5 linked regions of the Sus scrofa genome follow. The protein of the gene in region 1 purifies or fractionates together with the protein of each later gene. This does not show direct contact. Links are inferred from orthologs where the notes say so. Each region holds a gene or a part of one and is shown on either strand. Other genes may lie near its edges. The genes, in order: RPA2, ATRIP, TOP3A, CDC45 and RAD52.

Evidence for each region.
Region 2: the proteins of RPA2 (region 1) and ATRIP purify together in Homo sapiens (affinity purification with western blotting; 5 studies listed by BioGRID, with this or other methods). This does not show direct contact. The link is inferred for Sus scrofa from reciprocal best matches to the Homo sapiens genes RPA2 and ATRIP.
Region 3: the proteins of RPA2 (region 1) and TOP3A purify together in Homo sapiens (affinity purification with mass spectrometry; 4 studies listed by BioGRID and IntAct, with this or other methods). This does not show direct contact. The link is inferred for Sus scrofa from reciprocal best matches to the Homo sapiens genes RPA2 and TOP3A.
Region 4: the proteins of RPA2 (region 1) and CDC45 purify together in Homo sapiens (affinity purification with western blotting; 3 studies listed by BioGRID and IntAct, with this or other methods). This does not show direct contact. The link is inferred for Sus scrofa from reciprocal best matches to the Homo sapiens genes RPA2 and CDC45.
Region 5: the proteins of RPA2 (region 1) and RAD52 purify together in Homo sapiens (affinity purification with western blotting; 3 studies listed by BioGRID and IntAct, with this or other methods). This does not show direct contact. The link is inferred for Sus scrofa from reciprocal best matches to the Homo sapiens genes RPA2 and RAD52.

What each region holds. Positions count from the first base shown.
Region 1 is NC_010448.4:85,043,090-85,047,401, forward strand, and holds the start of RPA2 (replication protein A 32 kDa subunit), read right to left. Parts: upstream 2,811-4,312; 5' UTR 2,704-2,810; coding exon 2,694-2,703; intron 2,450-2,693; coding exon 2,343-2,449; intron 496-2,342; coding exon 394-495; intron 265-393; coding exon 151-264; intron 1-150. UniProt on the Homo sapiens protein: As part of the heterotrimeric replication protein A complex (RPA/RP-A), binds and stabilizes single-stranded DNA intermediates that form during DNA replication or upon DNA stress.
Region 2 is NC_010455.5:31,158,489-31,162,659, reverse strand, and holds the start of ATRIP (ATR-interacting protein), read right to left. Parts: upstream 2,812-4,171; 5' UTR 2,712-2,811; coding exon 2,465-2,711; intron 803-2,464; coding exon 672-802; intron 1-671. UniProt on the Homo sapiens protein: Required for checkpoint signaling after DNA damage. Required for ATR expression, possibly by stabilizing the protein.
Region 3 is NC_010454.4:60,457,679-60,461,191, reverse strand, and holds part of TOP3A (DNA topoisomerase 3-alpha), read right to left. Parts: intron 3,003-3,513; coding exon 2,920-3,002; intron 2,020-2,919; coding exon 1,812-2,019; intron 614-1,811; coding exon 428-613; intron 356-427; coding exon 226-355; intron 1-225. UniProt on the Homo sapiens protein: Releases the supercoiling and torsional tension of DNA introduced during the DNA replication and transcription by transiently cleaving and rejoining one strand of the DNA duplex.
Region 4 is NC_010456.5:51,139,622-51,143,134, reverse strand, and holds part of CDC45 (cell division control protein 45 homolog), read right to left. Parts: intron 2,004-3,513; coding exon 1,945-2,003; intron 741-1,944; coding exon 692-740; intron 1-691. UniProt on the Homo sapiens protein: Required for initiation of chromosomal DNA replication. Core component of CDC45-MCM-GINS (CMG) helicase, the molecular machine that unwinds template DNA during replication, and around which the replisome is built.
Region 5 is NC_010447.5:68,143,692-68,147,181, reverse strand, and holds the end of RAD52 (DNA repair protein RAD52 homolog), read left to right. Parts: intron 1-943; coding exon 944-1,018; intron 1,019-1,517; coding exon 1,518-1,718; intron 1,719-2,600; coding exon 2,601-2,662; 3' UTR 2,663-2,986; downstream 2,987-3,490. UniProt on the Homo sapiens protein: Involved in double-stranded break repair. Plays a central role in genetic recombination and DNA repair by promoting the annealing of complementary single-stranded DNA and by stimulation of the RAD51 recombinase.

The sequences.
Region 1 (4,312 bases):
TGTACCTCTGGTTGGACCCCTAGCCTGGGAACCTCCATATGCTGTGGGTATGGCCCTGAAAAGCAAAAAAAAAAAAAAGTGATACTAAAAAAGTTCAACATCTCCAAAGTCCCAAAGTAACCCCACCCTGATTCAAACACAACTGCTTACATCTGTGTCAACCCACTGGCGGACATCCATGGGTGCAGCTGTCATGTCATCTATTTTGTAAACAATGTTGGTTGCAGCCTTCTCTGCATGTCTGATTATCCCCACAATAGTCACCTAGACAAGAAGAAAAATAAGTTTGGTTTTCTTAGAAACCAAAGCAACATGAATCTATTTTTAAATGAAGTAAGTTTTATTTCATTCTTCATATGATTGAGTGACTCTTCCACAAATTATTTTACATACCTGTGAAATCTCAACATTCCCAATTTTGAACACTTCATCAACCAGAGTAGCAGAAAGCAGCTGAGATATGGTACAGGGTACAATGTGCTGAGCTCGGGCTCTCTGAAAAAAGTATGCATAAATTCAATTAAGAAAATAATAACTACTGTCCCTTAACACCTCCTATATGCCCAGCACTTTACGGATATTGTAACACTAATCTTCAAAAGAAACCTCATTGTCCCTACTTCACAGAGAAGAAAACCAAGGTTATATAGTTAACCAACGCCATATTCTAAATTTCAAAACCACGTCTGTCTGACTCCAAAGCTCCTGATGACTGGATAAGTTTGTGCTATACTAGGGATCACCAAAATGAGTCAGCCAGAGTGTGGACAGCAAAGGAACATGACCTGCTTCTGGAAGAGACTTTGAAAAGGCAACTCCAGCTTTAGGATGAAGGCAAGCTTGAGCTGGCTTTTCATCACTGATGAGAAGAGATAGTATTTGGAAGGAATTTGGGAAATGGCCAGCAAAGACAGAACTCTGAAGCTCTTCTAAGTTAAAGTATAACAAAAAGTTGGAGGTATATAGCTTTAGGTAGATGTTCTGACAATCCCATGTGAGTATGAGGAAAATGGGATAAGGGCCTGGCCACACGGGACATCTTAAAGGAAAGGGACAGGATGTGACGGGCAGAAGAGGACACCTAAATCACACCCAGAAGCAGCCTAACCATGTATACTCTTATGTTTGTCTCCCACTGGCCAGGGTTTGTTTGGGGGAAATAAAGATGAGTAAAATGGAACAGGATTTGCCCTCAACACATGCTACAAATGTAAATAACAAGCCTGATCTTGAAACACTATAGAATGTGGGATCTTGGAAAAATTTATTGGCAATTTCAAGAAGAGGGAGCATTTAGGCTGGACCCTGAAGCACGAAAATTTTGACAGTGAAAAAATAGTGAGTGAAGAATGTGCATTACAGGAGTTCCCGTTATGGCTCAGTGGTTAATGAATCTGACTAGCATCCATGAGGACGCAGGTTCAATCTCTGGCCTTGCTCAGTGGGCTAACTGCTGAAGCATACTTTTGAACGGTGAATATTGCCAGGATGGTAGAAAGTAAGCCCAGTCAACTACCAGCACACATGTCACAAAAGGTGGCAGCCAGCTGGTGGGCTGAGATTATGGCTCGACCACTCAGGAGCAGTGTGCTCTTGATCACATTTCTTTTTTTCCTTTCTGTTTTTTTTTTTGCTCTGCTTTTTAGGGCCGTACCCACGGCATATGGAGGTTCCCAGGCTAGGGGTCAAGTCGGAGCTATAGCCGATGGCCTACACCACAGCTCACAGCAACATCAGATCCTTAACCCACTGAGCGAGGCCAGGGATCGAACCTGCATCCTCATGGATCCTAGTCGGATTCATTTCTGCAGCGCCAGAATGGGAACTACCCCTGGGGCCATTTATTGAAAGCAACTCTGGGGCAGGCATAACTATATGTAATGTTATTAATCTCACAACAACCTTGTAAGATATGTATCATTAATCCCATTTAGTGGGTGCAAAACTGATTCCCAGTTTTGTAATTGTCCAATGATACCCTGCAAGCAGTGTCAGAGCAATAGTGGAACATAGATCTACTAGACTCCAAAGACCAGGCTCTTTCCACCTTATCAGATGACCTCATTACATTTCATTTAAAAATGACTTCCAGTATGTGAAGAATGTAAAATAGGCTACACATACAAGTTCGGTTTTTCCCACAAGACTAATTCATTAGTTATATTGGTAACTTTCAAAATAAAGCCAAGGAAACAATGTATGCAAAATTAGGAGACGTTTGATTTTTCAAACTTACAAGCACGTCCAGTTTACCACCCTTCCTTCCCCGCCTAAATTTTCTCACAGATGCGTTAGGAGCTTCAGCAGAGGTTAAAATAAAAAGAAATGCGCTTGCAACCTACAGATTTCTTTTCAGCCTGGGAAGGTGTCGGTGATCCAAAGCCCCCAGGGGACTGTGTGTAGCCGCCGGCTCCCCCAAAGGAGGAGCTGCTATAGCTTTCAAATCCACCTGGTTTTAAACAACAGCAGTATTAATACTTGTGCCACCCTCCAAGCCTCTGAAAAATCCGCAAGTCCCCCCAGACTTCACCCCAACCACTCCCAGAGTCTCCCTAACCTTCCCACCATCTTCCCTACGACCCGCACGCCCCCATCACCGGCCCTCGCCCGCCCCCTGCCGCCACACGCCTCCCCGGGCCCTCCCTTGCTAAATCCTTCTTGCGATTCTCATCAGGCGCCCCACTCATCATTACTATTCCACATCTTGGTCACTATTCCCTCAGTGTAGAGCTCCAGAAGGCTCCGGTCCGGTGGGTTAGCCGAACCCCCTCAGGACTCCGCTGTTGCAGCTGCGCTGTATCTACTTTTCGCTGGAGCCACAAACTCCTTCCCGCGAAGGACGGAGCCAATCAGAGTCCAGAGCGTTTCTCCCCTCAGCCAATCAATGCTTAAGAATCCCACGCCTTTTCCCGCCTTCCCGCGCCGAGCTCCGGAGAATGCGCACTTCGCTCCGGGAAGATCCGAAGCCTCTGCAGCCATCGTTACTTAGGGCAAAATAGGCTGCGGCTGCGGAAGGGAGACCTGAGAGATGCAAAGATAGGCCAGTGTCTCAAGAAAATAACCAATCAAGGAGTTCACTTGTGGCCCAGCAGGTTAAGGATCCGGAGATGGCTTGAGTCGGATCCCTCACCCGAGATGCTGTGGGCGGTTGCCCAAAAAGTAAAAGATGAGAACCAATCTGGATGATACTTCCACATCTCAGGCCGTTTAATCCCACCCCCGGCAACTGACTGACACTTTACATCACTTCCTTTGTTCCGTGTCTTGTTTCGTCCAAAACCTTACCAATCGAGTGATGCCTCCTAAAGCGTTATAGTAGTAGGACTTGCCATTAGCACAATATATACACATACGGGGAGCTCAATGTAGTAATTTCATTGCACCTCGTGGGGTTGCGTATTCTTTTCCATAAAGAGCCAGGTTCAGTTCTGGTATTGCCATCCCGTCGTCCTGATTCTCCGCAGAGAAGCTGTGAGAAGCCTACAGTCTTTTTCCCAGAATGGCAAAAGATCTGAGGATGACATCCCCCCAACCTTTCTGTCCCCACCCCAGTCTAGTCCGGATCCGTATCCTCGGTTGCTTCAACTATTCTTCATGTAATACGGTTGTGTCCCTCTTACGTTTTTCTTTTCTTTTTTGTGGTCTTTTGTCCTTTTAGGGCCGCACCCGCGGCATGTGGAGGTTCCCAGGCTAGGGGGTCTAATCAGAGCGTCTGCAGCCTACACCACAGCTCACAGCAACGCCTGATCCTTAACCCACTGAGCAAGGCCAGGGATCGAACCCACAACCTCATGGCTCCTAGTCGGATTTATTTCTGCTGCTCCAGGACGGGAACTCCGTGTCCCTCCTATGGAGAGTGGAACATGTCTGTCAGTTCTTTGCTCTAAATACTACTACACTGTTAGGAACAGATCCTCATTTATAATTTAAAAATATTTATTGATATCTCTTGTTCCAAGCTTTGTGCTGGCCACTGGGATTCAGTGGCAAATAACGAAGACATGGTCCCTGGGTTTCTGGGCCATTGCATTTCCTTTTGCTAAAACTGCAGACACTTTCTTCTCTCTCTCTCTGTCTTTTTTTTTTTTTTTTTTGTCTTTTGTCTTTTTAGGGCCGCACCTGTGGCATATGGATGTTCCCAGGCTAAAGGTCCAATCGGAGCTGTGGCTGCTGGCCTACACACCACAGCCACGGCAATGCCAGATCGAGCCATGTCCATGACCTACACCACAGCTCATGGCAACGCCAGATCCTTAACGCACTGAGTGAGGCCAGGGATCGAACCGAAACCTCATAGTTCCTAGTTGGATTC
Region 2 (4,171 bases), on another chromosome or scaffold:
CACCACAGAGGCACAGCAACACCGGATCTTTAACCCACTGACTGAGGCCAGGGATCCTCAGGACATTTTTCTGGGTTCTTAACCTGTTGAACCACAACGGAAACTCCCTCCCTGTTATGTTCTTAGTTTTTCTAGGGAACTGTAAAGGGTCATATGGAGGACTTCTGCTTTTTTACAAAACTGCTAATGAAAATAGTAACCATTAGGATGTGTTTTTTAACTAAGACATGCTATAAATTTATCTCAATGCTATAACAAGTTTGTATCTCTTTTTGATATGGTATACAGTGTTACAGTGTTTCCTTTCTTGCTTTGGCTGTTAGGAATTTCAGGATTTAGTTCCACCAAAATTTTCTGGCTTTCTTTCCATAGCTTTCTCCCAATTCATGGGGATCAATCTGGACTCTTTTTTTGCTTTTTGTCACATCCGGGGCATATGGACGCTCCCAGGCCAGGAATCGAATCTGAGCCACAGCTGTGGCCTGTGGTGCCACTGTGGCCACACTGGATGGAACCCATGCCACTGCAAAGACAATACCAGATACTTAACTGCCATGCCATGGTAGGAATGTCTGGGCTCTTAAACTTATATATATATATATATATATATTTTAATAACATATGCATACGTGAATTAATTAACTATAAAAAACACAAGTTAAATCACTTACCTTTTCTTTAAGTTCTTTGTATTGTAACTGAAGTACCTCTAATTCAAAATTATCTTTAACTGGAGCACTTTCTCTCTTTTTCCCTGTAGGATTTTTTGGCATTCCATCTAATCTGGGGACCTTTTGAACATCTGTAAAAAACAGTTCCCATGTACTTTTCAGGACCTAATATTTTTCCATTTTTACCAGACAATGCTGAAAATAATCACTTTGGAAAGCAAATTAGAGAAAGATATAGTAAGCAATATAGGTATTGTCCAACATAAGAACATAATTGAATCCTTATGAAAGAACAGATCCTGCCAACCTCTCCCCATTCCCCATCCAATTTTTTTTTTTCCACTTATGGCCACACTGGTGGCACATGGAAGTTCCCAGTCCAGGGACTGACTGCCTATGGCACAGCTGTGGCAATTCCAAATCCTTAACCCACTGTGCCTGGCCAGGGATGCAACCTAAGCCACTGCAGTCGGATTCTTAACACACTGCGCCACAGCAGGAATTCCTTCCCACCCCTTTTTAAGAGTCTTACCTAAAGTTGAAAGGTGCTCTGGTCTCACTGATCAGAACTCAGAGGTCTATTATCAACAATATTTACTGAGGACCTACAATATGCCAGGCACAATTTAGCCTCAAAAGAAAGGTACAGTGGTGAGCAAAATGGATACAGTCCTTACACTCATGCAGCTTACATGGCAGTAAAAAATACACGAATAAATGTAAAATCACAATTGTTATAAGAGCTGCAGAAAAGAACAAATATAGGAAAGCCCATACTAGGAGATTTGATCCAAGTGAATGATTGGAGTGCTTCTGTAGGGAAGTGATAACTGAACTGAGAGCTGAAGAACAAGCAGGAATTAAGCAGGTGAGTGGGGATGGGGAATGGATGGAAAGAATACTCAATGCATAAGAAACAGCAATGTGCAGTTTCTATATGGTAAGGAGCAGGGAGAATTCAAGGAATGAAGCGAAGTCAGTGAAGTCCCACAAGCCTTCACTTATTTCCCACCTAGAATGTAAGCTCCATGAAGGAAGGGGCTTCTGTCTTTTGTTCACTGTTAAGTGTCTGCAGCTCTTAAAGTTTGGCACCTCATACAATTTATTGGTTGTATAAAAGAATGTCTCTTCTACCTCTTGCTACTTCCAAGCCCATCTTATCCTTATGGGAAAAGGGAAAAGGACCCATGTTAGAAGGGGTGGGAACTAACAGCTCAGGCTCATTCATTCATTCATTTCTCAGAGAGCTCTTAGGTGTTTTTGTCCCAAGTGCTTCGTCACATAGAAATGCGTGAGGGAATTCCAGTTGTGGCTCAGCCGTAACGAACCCAACTAGTATCCATGAGGATGAGAGTTCAATCCCTGGCCTCACTCAGTGGCTTAAGGATCCAGCATTGCTTTGGCCGTGACATTAGTTCTAAAGCCACTCAAACCTGTCCTAAGAATGGGTCCTCATGTGTAGGTAGTAATGGTGGGGGTTCTGATGGCAGTGGTAATCATGTTCCAAGGATCCTAGTGGTCCAAACTATAGGAACTAAAGTAAAATGTCAACCTAGCTTTCTATATTTTAAATAGGCTGTCTGACATTCCTGATATATTTCTCCCCCAAATCAAAGGACCTTTTCGGGCACAACCGCTGCTTAAATCAAGCTGTTCCTGTATTTTTAAAAGGTGAAGGAGTAATGTGGGTGCAAGACACCGTGGCAGCGGTCGCTGAGGGATTCCCCAGTCTTCTAGGGGGTCTGGCAAGGGCTGCATTATCCTCGGGGGAAAAGGCCCCGAGGCGCACTCACTGGACATGTCCCGACCCGTGGTCGGGCACTGGCTCAGGGCCTGTGACGCGAGGGTGTCCAGCTCCTCCAGGTCGTCGGCGGTGAAATCCCCATGGGCGCCGAAAGGGTCTTCGGGGTCAGGAGCGGCGGCCGCTGGGAAGCCCCGGGCCCGCTTGCTCGGAGGGTGCCCGGGGCTGGGCGGCGGGCCAGGATTGGGTGCCGGGGGTCCGCTTCGCCTCCTGCTGCCTGGCGTGGGTATTCCAGCCATGCCTGCCGCCGGCCAGTCTCCGAAGGAACGGAGTCCGGCCTCTATCCAGGAGCGGGGACCAACCGCTCGCGCGCCGCCACTTGCCTCAGCCGCTGTGCCACGCCCCGGAGCCAAGGGGCCAATCAGCTGCCAGTTCTTAGGCGCGGAGGGATGACATAATCTGAGCGCGCTACTGCGCTCAACTGAGTGTCTGCCTATTTGTTCTCCGCCTCTGGGCCCCACCCTGTTTGCTGCTCAGGTACTGGCGGTTAGGACTCAGTGGGCCTGGCGGGTGCTTTGTGCAATGTGAGCCAAGTTAACCTGGGGTGACTCACCAGCCCCACCGCCGGGGTGGCTCTGTGCCAGCTTCTTGACATCCCATAGGGTTTGCTGTGCTGGAGGAGTTCGCCCTCCTGATATTCACAAATTCATGCCCGGACATTCACACGCGTGAATCGAGGCAGGCAGCATTCACATTCAGGGTCCTTGTGACCTGACTGTCCTCCAGCCTGAACCACTTCACATATACCTCGAGGCTTTCTTGGGGAGGAGTCTTGGAGAGGGGGGCTGGGCTAGGAGTATGAACAGCGCTGTTGTGAGCACACATCTTTTTGAGAACAGTAAATGTTTTGAATGTGTGCATTTGAGGTAGGTCAATAGAAAAAAAGGAGTAAAGGAATGATCCTGAGAAGAGTGTGTCTGTGTTGGAGGGGGTGGGAACTAACAGCTCAGGCTGTTAATATTCATTCATTCATTTCTCAGAGAGCTCTTAGGTGTTTTTGTCCCAAGTGCTTGGTCATATAGAAATGCATGAGGGAATTCCCATTGTGGCTCAGCGGTAATGAACCCGACTAGTATCCATGAGGATGAGGGTTCAATCCCTGGCCTCACTCAGTGGCTTAAGGATCCAGCATTGCTTTGGCTGTGGCATAAGCTGGCAGCTACAGCTCGGATTCACCCCTACCCTAGGAATTTCCATATGCCGGGGGTGCAGCCCTAAGAAGACAAAAAAGAAATGCATGAGACTCAGTTCAAGGCAGGCCCCCTTAAGTGTTACCTGGGCTGTCCTACAGGTTCAGTGGGAGTTTTATCAAGAGTTAGCAAGGAGGATGGCACACAAGACTACTCAAACAAGGACTTCCTGTCATGGCTCAGCAGAAATGAACCTGACTAGTATCTATGAGGACGCAGGTTTGACCTCTGGCCCCACTCAGTGGGTTAAGGATCTGGTGTTGCTGTGGACTGTGGTGTAGGTCGCAGACACGGCTTAGATCATGAGTTGCTGTGGCTGTGGTGTAGGCCAGTGGCTACAGATTCAATTTGATGCCTAGCCTGGGAACCTCCATATGCCACGAGTGCTACCCTTAAAAAAAAAAAAAAAAAAAAGACTACTCCTCAGACAAGAATATGACACTAAAATGGAGGTCACACAAGTGCTAGGCAGAAGTTATCTCTGGCTAAGAGGGAAGGTGTTAGAGGGG
Region 3 (3,513 bases), on another chromosome or scaffold:
GGAGGCACGAGCCCACGCGGGGACGCCGCAGGGCAGTGGCTCGGGGCAGGAAGGACCGGGCGACCTGGACCGTGCTTTTCCTCTCACAGGCTCTGCACCCTGCCCGAGCTCCCAACTGCTCCAAGCCTCCCTGCAGCTCCGGGGCGGGGGTTGAACCCAGCGCCCGCGTCACGGCTGCGGGGAAGGCGCCAGAGCCGCCAGGCCCCATGCTGACAAGCCACTGACCGATGCCGTGCTTCTCCATGAGGGCGATGAGGTCGGCCTCGGTGAGCAGCTGCGGCGGGCTGGTCTCCCCGTCCACCATCTCCACGGTGCTGGGCTGAAAGCGGGAGCCTCGCTCGTAGCCGGGGAGGACCTGCGGGGGCAGCCGACGTCGGTCAGACCCCGCACGGCACCCTCCCCGGCCCAGGGCCCTGCGACGCCGCACCTTGTCGCTCCAGTGGTCGTAGGGGTACACGTCCAGGTAGTTCCGGGCCAGAATCACCAGGCCGTGGGCCACGAAGCGCTCCTGCGCGATGTCTATCTCCACGGTGGTCTCCTGGCCCTGCGCGTCCCGGGAGCAGCAGGCCAGGAAGTGGCGCACGATGAGCTCGTAGAGCCGCTGCTCGTCCCCCTGCGAGAAGAGGCGCCTGAGCCCCTGGACACCCCGCCAGGGCCTCGGCGCCGCCGGCAGCTCGACCTGGCTGTCGTCGGGGACCCTCTGCCGCTCACGGTGCGGGCTGACGGCCTTCCCAGCTGCGACCAGGCAAAGACAGGCAGGGCCACCTGCCCTCACGCCTGTGAAGGGAGTCCTGACGTGACGCCGTCTAAGCAGAAGACGGGCTGAGAGCTCAGAGGTCACCGAGACACCCCTTACGCTAGAGACGTAGGGCGAGGACGCGGGCGGCAGCCTCAGACCAAGCCCGCGGCACGGGGCTCACAGTGACTTTCCACGGATGTGGTGACCGAGGAGCTCCGGCGGCTCTGTCTGTCAAAACCGCTGAGGGGTGGAGGCTCACGTCCAGCGACTCTCTTTCTAAGAGTGTTTTGTTTCTTTCTTTTTACGGCCGCACCCACGGCATATGGAGGTTCCCAGGCTAGGAGACCAATCGGAGCTGTAGCCGCCGGCCTAAGCCAGAGCCACAGCAACGCGGGATCCAAGCTGGGTCTGTGACCTACACCACAGCTCATGGCAACGCCAGATCCTTAACCCACGAAGCGAGGCCAGGGATCGAACCCGCAACCTCATGGATGCCAGTCAGGTTTGTTAACCGCTGAGACACGACGGGAACTCGCTGAGAGCGTCTTCAGAGGAAACGGAGCCACACGAACAGTATCACGTATTCAATGTGAGACCCCTTAGTACGTTACGTATCAATGAGCTGGAAACAACTTAATCTTTCAAAACCAGATTTGGCAAAGTAAGTTACAGTCCATCTATGCGATCATTCAATACCAGGCTTTAAAACATTTTGGCACGTGGGGAAGTGCTCACACGGAAAGACGGGTCAGAAACCCACTTAACGTTAAGGTTTAACTGAAAGCTGAGGGTCTCGGCAGGAGATGCCGGACTGCAGACAACTGTTTCCTTCCCGACACCCTCCTCCTGTACTTTGGGAGGCGTGTGGAGGGCCGGGGCTCGGGCGGGGGGGAGCCCACCGTGCAGTCTCCAGGGAGGCCAGGCTGAGCTCCTGGGGGAGCACGTCCTGACCCAGACGTCTCTTTTCCCAAGGGGAGGACACATCTCAAAATGTGTCCTCGGAGGGTCCAAACCCACTTCAGACCCGGCACCTCCGCGCGGGGCCGGCGGGCAGCACGGCCGGGAAACCAACCTGCAGGCTGTCGGTGTACTTGGTGGGGTGGATCGGGGGGTGGGCCTGGTCGGACTGGTTCCCGTTGCGTGGGGTGGGGCCGCCCTGCTCCAGGATGCTGCGGGCAAAGGCCCCCCAGCGCGGGTCTGAGGTCTGCTGCTCCACCAGGGCCGCCAGGTCCAAGCCTTTGGGGAAGATGTTTGTTTCCGTCCTCGGGTAGCTGATGTACCTAGGGTGAGCCAAACGCATAGAACAGAAAATGGCGAAACTGGTCCAGAACGGCTCAACTGGCCGGAGAGCACGGTGCCGCCCACAGCAGCCCGAGTGACCCACCGGGACCCACACGGCGAGCGCCCTGCGCTGTGGCTCCCCCGTGGGCGGGGGGCAGCAGGGACACGCCCTGGGGTCGGGGATGAGCGCAGGCAGCACGGGGCAGGGCACGCCTGCTACAGCCCCGGCCCCGCGTCGGTGGGCACGGGCACCAGGGTGAGTCCCGCCCTTTCCTTAGAGCAGAGGAAGCGCGACGCCGCCAGGCTGCGCCGTGGACCCCACGCGCGGCGGGCGTTCAGCGGAGCACTGGGACGCCGGCGTCCTCCCTCTCCCACAGGCCTTCGACACTGTTGGACGGTCACAGGCGCCGCACCTCTCGACCCTGACAACCCAGATCTCACGCGCTCGACAGCCAGCTCTGGCGCGTGGCGGCTGCTCCAGCCAGTGAGGGCCACGCGGTCCCTGGACGACTCGGGCGCCCGTGACCCGAGGCGGGAGGGTCTGCCGGCAGCGACAGCCCCTGAGGGTGGCAGGACCCCAGGCCCTGCCCGCTGAGGGTCCAGAGGGGCTCTGCAGGCTCCCCTCTTAGCAGGTTAAGGGACTGCGACACGGCTTGTCCGCGTCCCAGAAGAGGAGTCGAGGCCAACACGCGACTTGAGACCTGCTCTGCTGAGGGCCTCGGCGGCTGCGCAGGCGTGGGCTCTCCCAGGACACGGCAGCCGCTGCCGGGGCGCCCGCAGGACGGTTTATCCCCAGTCTTCCACCGCGGGGCTCTGTGTCTCCCCGGCTCTCCTTCTACACCATCTCGCCTCAAGGAAGTCGCGGCAAGGCCTGTCCCCAAACGGGGACGGACACGCACCCTTGAGTGTAGAGCTTCTCCGCGATCCTCATGGTTTCCTTGGCGTTTATTCTCAACTTGCGCGAAGCCAGCTTCTCCAGCTCCTGTTGACACGTGGGCAGGCGGGTGAGGGCACAGCCAGAGGCACGACGGCCACACGCCTCATCTTCAGAACGCCGGCCCCATCCCTCCAGCCACTGTCACACATCCTTGCGACAGGCTGAGCTGAAGAAGGGTTTCTGGGCCTGCAGGCAGGGCCAGCCCCCAGCCCGGGGTCTTCAGACTCCGCTGAGCAGGACAAGAATCAGCCGGGGAGCGGCCAGATTCCTGGGCCCTGGGCACGAGGGCCCCCGGCAGAGGCGGCCGGGACCGAGGCTGCGGGCGTGCATCCGTAACCCGGCCGCCTGGGAACTTGCTCGGGGACCACCACGCGAACCCTGGGACACGCTGCACGTTTGGCACTTCATCCTCTGGAACTGGGCCCCAAAGTACCCACCCCCGAATTTCCCTGCCAGGTGGAGACGGGGAAGGGCACCCCCAACGTGGCTTACTCAGACTTGTGTCCCAGGGGTGGCTCCTCTCGGGGTCAAAAAATTTGAGCAGCCCTGTTCTAGG
Region 4 (3,513 bases), on another chromosome or scaffold:
GTTCCAGAAGGAGACCAGGAGATCAGCGTCCGACCAGGAGACCCTAAAGCCCTGTCTGCAGTGAGACACTGGCCTGACTTCAGCATCTCCAAGGAAACTGGTTTCCAAGAGAGCTTCCCAGCCATGCATCTGTTTCCACCCGTGAACCCACCTACAGCTCAGAATCCTCCCGCCAAGGGCAAACCAATCTCAAAAGGGGTTCTGAAGTACCTGCTCAGAGGCCAAGGCCCCAGGTCAAATTCTGAGACTAAATACAGGATTTTTACTAGAACCACTTTCTAGGTCCCCTTAAGGCCCTGAGCTCTGCTCAGCAGCACAAGAATCAACCCACTGGGTTTTCTGATGAAAATCCTAACACACAAATCAAGTTTCATCTTCTTGCACAGAAATCAGCGCAGGCTCGTTCTGTTTTTTGATGATGAACAGAAAGAGTGGCTGCTGTTCCCTGAGCACCTCTGAGTGTGAGAGGCCATCCCAACAACTGCCTTTGAAGTGAGGCCTGCTATCTCCCTTTTTCCCAGGAGGAGAGGCTAAGAGCAGATCCTCCCCTCAGGCCACAGGGTGGAAGCTGCAGGCTTGGATTTAAACCAGTCCTCGGGGGCTCTAAAACCTCTGCTGATTCCTCCTCCTCTTTTAGGACAGTGCCCCCTAGAGTCCGGACATGGCAGTGAATCCCGGGATCTGGACTTACTGACGTCCCGTGGTATTCGTACTGTTCGTAGTCAAAAAGGATGTCTCTTCTGTAAAGACACAAAAGTAGGTCTTCAACAGGAAGCAGAATAGGAAAACAAACAGTGGGAAAAATGCTAGAATGGACGATACTCAAAGAAACCCAAACGAAATCATTTGTTTTCACTTATTGACTCTTCCAAGGACTGAAAGTGTACAGCATTGGGAAGGGAGTGACCGGGGCACAAACCTTGTGTGGCTACCAAAGATGTAAAATGGCACAGTCCCAGATTCCACTCCCCACAAGAAGTTAAGGCAAGACAGCAGTTCAAAGGGACAAGCCAGACAGGCCTCGCGGTGTGCAAGGTTGTTTGCTTCAGCCTGACAGTCACCGCAGAACACTGAAAGCAACCTCCAGCTCACAAAGAAGGGGAAGGCCAGTTCGGCACCGTGCACTTTACAAAGGCCTGTGGAGATTTCCGAACTATGGTTCTATTACGTGGAAAAGTGCAAAATTAGGTGTGATGATGTAAAACGTGCACAAGCACAGACAACCCCGGGCAGATCAATCCAAAGCTGGAACCTCTTCCTATTAGTGAAAATGGATTATATTCACTTTTCTTTCCTGCACTTCCCCAAATGATTTTACAACCAGCCTCCCCAAGTGGGGCTGACAGGGGCACGCCCTTAGATGGAGCAGCAGGGCAGGGGCTGGACACTCAGACACCCACGAGGCCTTATAGGGATGCAATTAGCAGGGAATTCCCAGCAAGCGCACTGCTGCATGTTCACCTTGAGCTAGAGTATCCTCTCCAACATTTTCATTTAAAGCACTTGAGTTTTTTAACTTGCAATATGAAGAGGAACTATGGATAGCTTAGTTTTCTTTTCAATTTTTTTTCTATGAGGAGTTTCATACAATTCCATCTATTGAATTTGTAAAGAAAAGTATCTAGATTTAGAAAACTATTAAAACGAGGGACCAGGGCTGTCATCCCTAACAGATGGCAGGTGTTGGGAGCTCTTGAGCCCAGCCCATCACTCATGGGACATGAAGGTGACATGGAGGGTCCCTGAGCTTTTCCCCAATGCAGGGGCCACATGCTCAGTCCTAGAGACACTGGCCCAAAGGCTCTAAACTCAACACATTATCCTAAAATGGAAAAAAAAAATGCACAAAGCCCCCAAGGAAAAGCCAGGCATATCAGTGATACTCACCCCACCCCCCACCCCCAGCTGTCCCGCAGGCAGGGCTGCTGATGGAAGGACCCTCACCTGCGGGCCTCCCACTCTCTTCGTTGCCTCCTCTTCATGGTTCGCTCCACGATTTCCTGATATAGGACAAAGAGAACAAAAGGTGAGCCAAGGAGTTTGGCTGAGAAGGATCCAATTTGTCAGAAGCCACTGAGGGTACAGCCTGCCCCTGGTGGGACGGCAGGGCCCCTCAGCCCCGTGGCCACTGTGGATGGGATTGGACGCTTCCCCAGCATCTGCTTAGGTGACACCCCAGATCCACTGTCCCAGTACCATGTGAGCCACAAAAAGCCCACAGCTGCCACGTCCCCGCTTTCCCACCATGTTAGAAAGAACTCACGGGGAGTTCCTGTCATGGCTCAGCGGTAATGAACCTGACCAGGATCCATGAGGATGTGGGTTTGATCCCTGGCCTTGCTCAGTGGGTTAAGGATCTGGTGTTGCCATGAGCTGCAGTGTAGGTCACAGATGCAGCGGAGCTGCATTGCTGTGGCTGTGGCTGGCAGCTACAGCTCCAATTCGACCCCTAGCCTGGGAACCTCCATATACTGCAGGTGCAGCCCTAAAAAGCAAAAAAAAAAAAAAAAAGAGAGCGCTCCTATTCCTCACATCCTAACCCCACTGTTTCCAGCAACTATTCTAATTTTACAGGCACAACCTCTTTCTCTTCCCACAATAAAGGCACAGGTGAGGGCGCAGTTTTAAAATCTGTAGTCTCTAGACTTCTGCTTGTAGAAGGATAGGTAGATGTATTTGTCTCTATTCATACACTAAATGTACCTAGAAATCCTGGTAGTGCATATTTAAAAAAAGAAAAGAGTCTGAAAGGTGGAGAGGAAGGCTGACCAGCCAAGGGTCCCAGGACCTGGGAATGTCACAGTAGGGAGTTCCCAGAGTTTTCCTTTTTGTTCATATATTCCAGAGAAGCTGGCCACACAGAAACACCGATAGAAGAAAAAATCCCCAACAAAAGCCAAAGAACCAGGAAGGACCGGCCTTGAAAGAGAAAACTTTTAGAGGATAACTGCTCAACTCTAACTGCACCACCACCAGAAACACCATGGTCCCACCCCATCCACCACAGCAAAGGCCCAGTGCCCCTCCCTACCTCCCACCAGGGTGGGGTCAGAGGGCAGGTATGGTGCCCAGTGCTAAGAAGGAGCCACACTCCTCAGGGAGAAACTGGGTCATCACAGATTGCTGGTCAGAAGGTAACATGGTACAGACACTCTGGGAAAGTTTGGCAGCTTCTTAAAAAACTGAACATATTAACTACCACAGAAGCCAACAAATGCACTCTTAGTCATCCATTCCAGGGAAATGAAGATTCATGTTCACACAAACCTGCACACAAATGTTTATAGCAGCTCTCTTCACAATAGCCGGAAATGAGATAGCCCAGATGCCCGTCAGGGAGTATATGGCTAAACAAACCGAGGTGGGTCCACACCATGGAACAAACTCAGAAACAAAAGGGAAGCAACTTGGAGTTCCCGTCATAGCTCAGTGGTTAGCGAACATGACTAGTATCCATAAGGATTTGGGCTCGATCCCTGGACCTGCTCAGTGGGTTAAGGATCCAGTGTTGCT
Region 5 (3,490 bases), on another chromosome or scaffold:
GGGCTTCTGGCAAATCTTTTTTTTTTTGCTTTTGAGTGCCGCACCTGAGGCATATGGAGGTTCCCAGGCTAGGGGTCAAATTGGAGCTACAGCTGCCGGCCTACACTACAGCCACAGAAACACAGGCAGGATCTGAGCCACATCTGTGACCTACACCACAGCTCACGGCAATGCCAGATCCTCAACCCACTGAACGAGGCCAGGGATTGAACCCGTGTCCTCATGTTTCTTAGTTGGATTCTTTTCCACTGCGCCACAACGGGAACTCCTGGCAATTCTATAAGCTTTTGTTCATTTGAGTCCACATTCAGTGGGAATAGTAGATAACAGATTTTTTTGAGTCTTTCCCAGAGACTAAAATCAGAGGGCTTATCTCAGACCAAAAATCCAGACAAAAAAGCTGGATTTTTGCCCAGCTTCTTCCTTAGAATCATGAAGATTCATAGAGGACTTGCTGTCATGTTTTAGTTCCTTATAATTCCCCTCAGCACTAGCAGGCTGAAATTAATGTAGGAAAAAAAACAAAAACAAAAAACAAATAATTTACTTTTCTGGGGATGTTTTTCCTAAGAATTAATGTTCTGTATCTTTAGCTTCTGGACCATTCTGGAAGCTCTGGGGGTGAGGGGTGGAAAAGGAGTGTCCTTCAGGACTCCCGCACCCCTGATCAATCATCATGTTGGTTTTATACACTAATTTCTACTTAAGATTTTGTTTGAACAAGGGTTATAGCTTCAAAAAGTAAAAACTTGACGAGATGTCTTATAATAAGCCATTTCTGCTGCTAAAAAGGAAACTTTTGTTGGTGAGAACAAAAATAGAGTTTTCAGACCTGTTTTATATAGGTCTGGGACACAGGGTCCTGCTGGCTATGCTGTGTAATCCCAGGCAGCTCTGCCCCCTGGCCCAGTTCTACTGTCCTGAGACTGTCCCTTCTCTGCAGCAGGACCACTGGCGAAGCACAGCACTCCCGGAATTGCTGTTTCAGAGCCACTCACTAAGACAGCCGTCCTTGCAGGTTAGTAGGTTGAAAGGAACAGCTAGGTACTAGTCAGTAAATGCTATGAAGCGTCTGTAGATTGCTGTGTACTTGGGTAGTCACAAGTACATTTTAAAAGAGGCATTAGGAATTTCCCTTGTGGCACAGCAAGCTAAGGTCCTGTGTTGTCACTGCTATGGCTTGGGTTGCTGCTGTGACGAAGTTTGATCCCTGGCCCAGGAACTTCCATATGCCATGGGTGTGGCCAAAATAAAATGAAGGGCATAAATATCTTAATTTCTATCCGTTTTGTAGAAAGAGGACCCAAAGGGACTGACAGCAGTGCTGACTATAGCACATATTCAGCTCCTGTTGTCTTAACCTAAGAGAGGCTTTGGTCTTTTAGGGGTTGGGGAGAAATTCAAAAGCCGTTATAGGATACTCACGTTATGGGATTTCACATGACCTACTTTCCCAGCATTTCACCGTGAAAACACATTGTTGATGCTAAATTTTCCTATGACCTCTGTCCTTGCAGACAGTCTTGAAATGTGGGACATGGTTCTTGATGTAGCAGACAGTGTGGTCCAGCCCTTGGCTAAACCAGAACCACTGCAGACCCCTGCCACCTCAGTCCCGAAGAACCAGATGGAGACTCAGAACAGGACCCACCAGAATCCACAAGCAAAACCTGAACCCTGGCACTTCCAGACTCACCATCTTAACCAGCACATAGCAGGTAGCAAACTGTTTTAGGAGCAAAAACTGAAGGGAGAACCTGGCTTTTTCTTTGAATTTTAAAGAAGAATGACATTCCATCTAAGATGCCGGAGAAACAGCAGTGTAAGAAATGGAGGGTCATTGGCTTAAGAGCCCAAAGTTTCCCTTGGGGCCTTGACTTGCGGTCTCTTACTAGTGGGATGTGTAAACGTGACTGCAGGAAGAGCTTTCTTGTTAAAAGTTTATTGCAGAGTTCCTGTCATGGTTCAGCAATTAACAAACTCAGACTAGTATCCAAGAGGATGAGTGTTTGATCCCTGGCCTTGCTCAGTGGGTTAAGGATCTGGCATTGCCATGAGATGTGGTGTAGGTGGCAGATGCGCTTGGATCTGGTGTTGCTAGTAGGGGCAGTAGGCTGGCATCTGCAGTTCCCATTCACCCTCTAGCCTGAGACCCTCCGTATGCTGCTGGTGGGGCCCTAAAAAAGAAACACACACAAGAATGTTTGGAGTTACTTTGTGGCTCAGTGGAAACAAATCTGACTGGCATCCATGAGGATGTAGGTTTGATCCCTGGCCTTGCTCAGTGGGTTAAGGATCCAGTGTTGTCATGAGCTGTGGTGTAGGTAGCAGACGAGGCTTGGATCCTGCATTGTGGTGGCTGTGGCGTAGGGTGGTGGCTGTGGCGTAGGCTGGCAGCTGTGGCTCTGATTTGACCCCTAGCCCAGGAACCTCCATATGCCACGGGGATGGCCCTAAAAAAAAAGTTTATTGCAACTTGGTCTAATGTTAATACAGGGACTTTAAAAGTATGGTTGTTAACTAATATGACTCAAATTATTAACTGTCAGTTTATTTTAAAATCATGGCAGCTATTATTTGAATAATTTTCTCTTCCATAGGAGACTGTGATTCCTCTAGGAAGAACCAGGACATGAAGAAAAGGAAATTAGATCCATCTTAACCGAGGCAGGTGACCTCACTGGACTCTGTCACAAAGGGACTTTCAGAAATTATGCTTTGATCATGAAATGATTTATCATTTGTACATAAGTCAAATCAGAGCTAATGAAATCATGAATGTGCTTTACCTCCAGGGATTTACCTTGCTTCTTCCAGAACTTTACCAGATTTGACTGTTGGAAGCTGCTACAGATAAAGCTGGGCAACTGGAAAACAGGCAGTTAAAGAGAGCTTGTCACACAGTCCAGGTTGGGAAGCTCTGCGGAGATTAAACACTCAAGGTTCTTCACTGTTTATTCCTAAGCTATTACATTTAAAAAAAAAAAAAAGACATTCTAGGCGTCACCAGTGGCTACCTTCCTTTAAACAATGTAAGCCTTATTCCCAAGCACCAAACTTGACAGGGGCCCATAGTGCATTTACTGTGAGTGACCTCTGACCTTTCACTGCAGGGCTCCACAAGTGAGGCTAGTCTTCCCATATGAGTCTTTTTTTTTTTTTTTGGTTTTTTGCCATTTCTTGGGCCACTCCCGCAGCATATGGAGGTTCCCAGGCTAGGGGTGTAATCCGAGCTGTAGCTGCCAGCCTACGTCAGAGCCACAGCAATGTGGGATCCGAGCTGCGTCTGCCACCTAACGCCATAGCTCATGGCAACGCTGGATCCTTAACCCACTAAGCAAGGGCAGGGACCGAACCCGCAACCTCATGGTTCCCTAGTCGGATTCGTTAACCACTGCGCCACAACAGGAACTCCCGAGTCTTATTATTATAGGTTCATGATGTCACTATCTGCATTTTTTCCTGATCAAGGAAACAATAAGACCAGAGA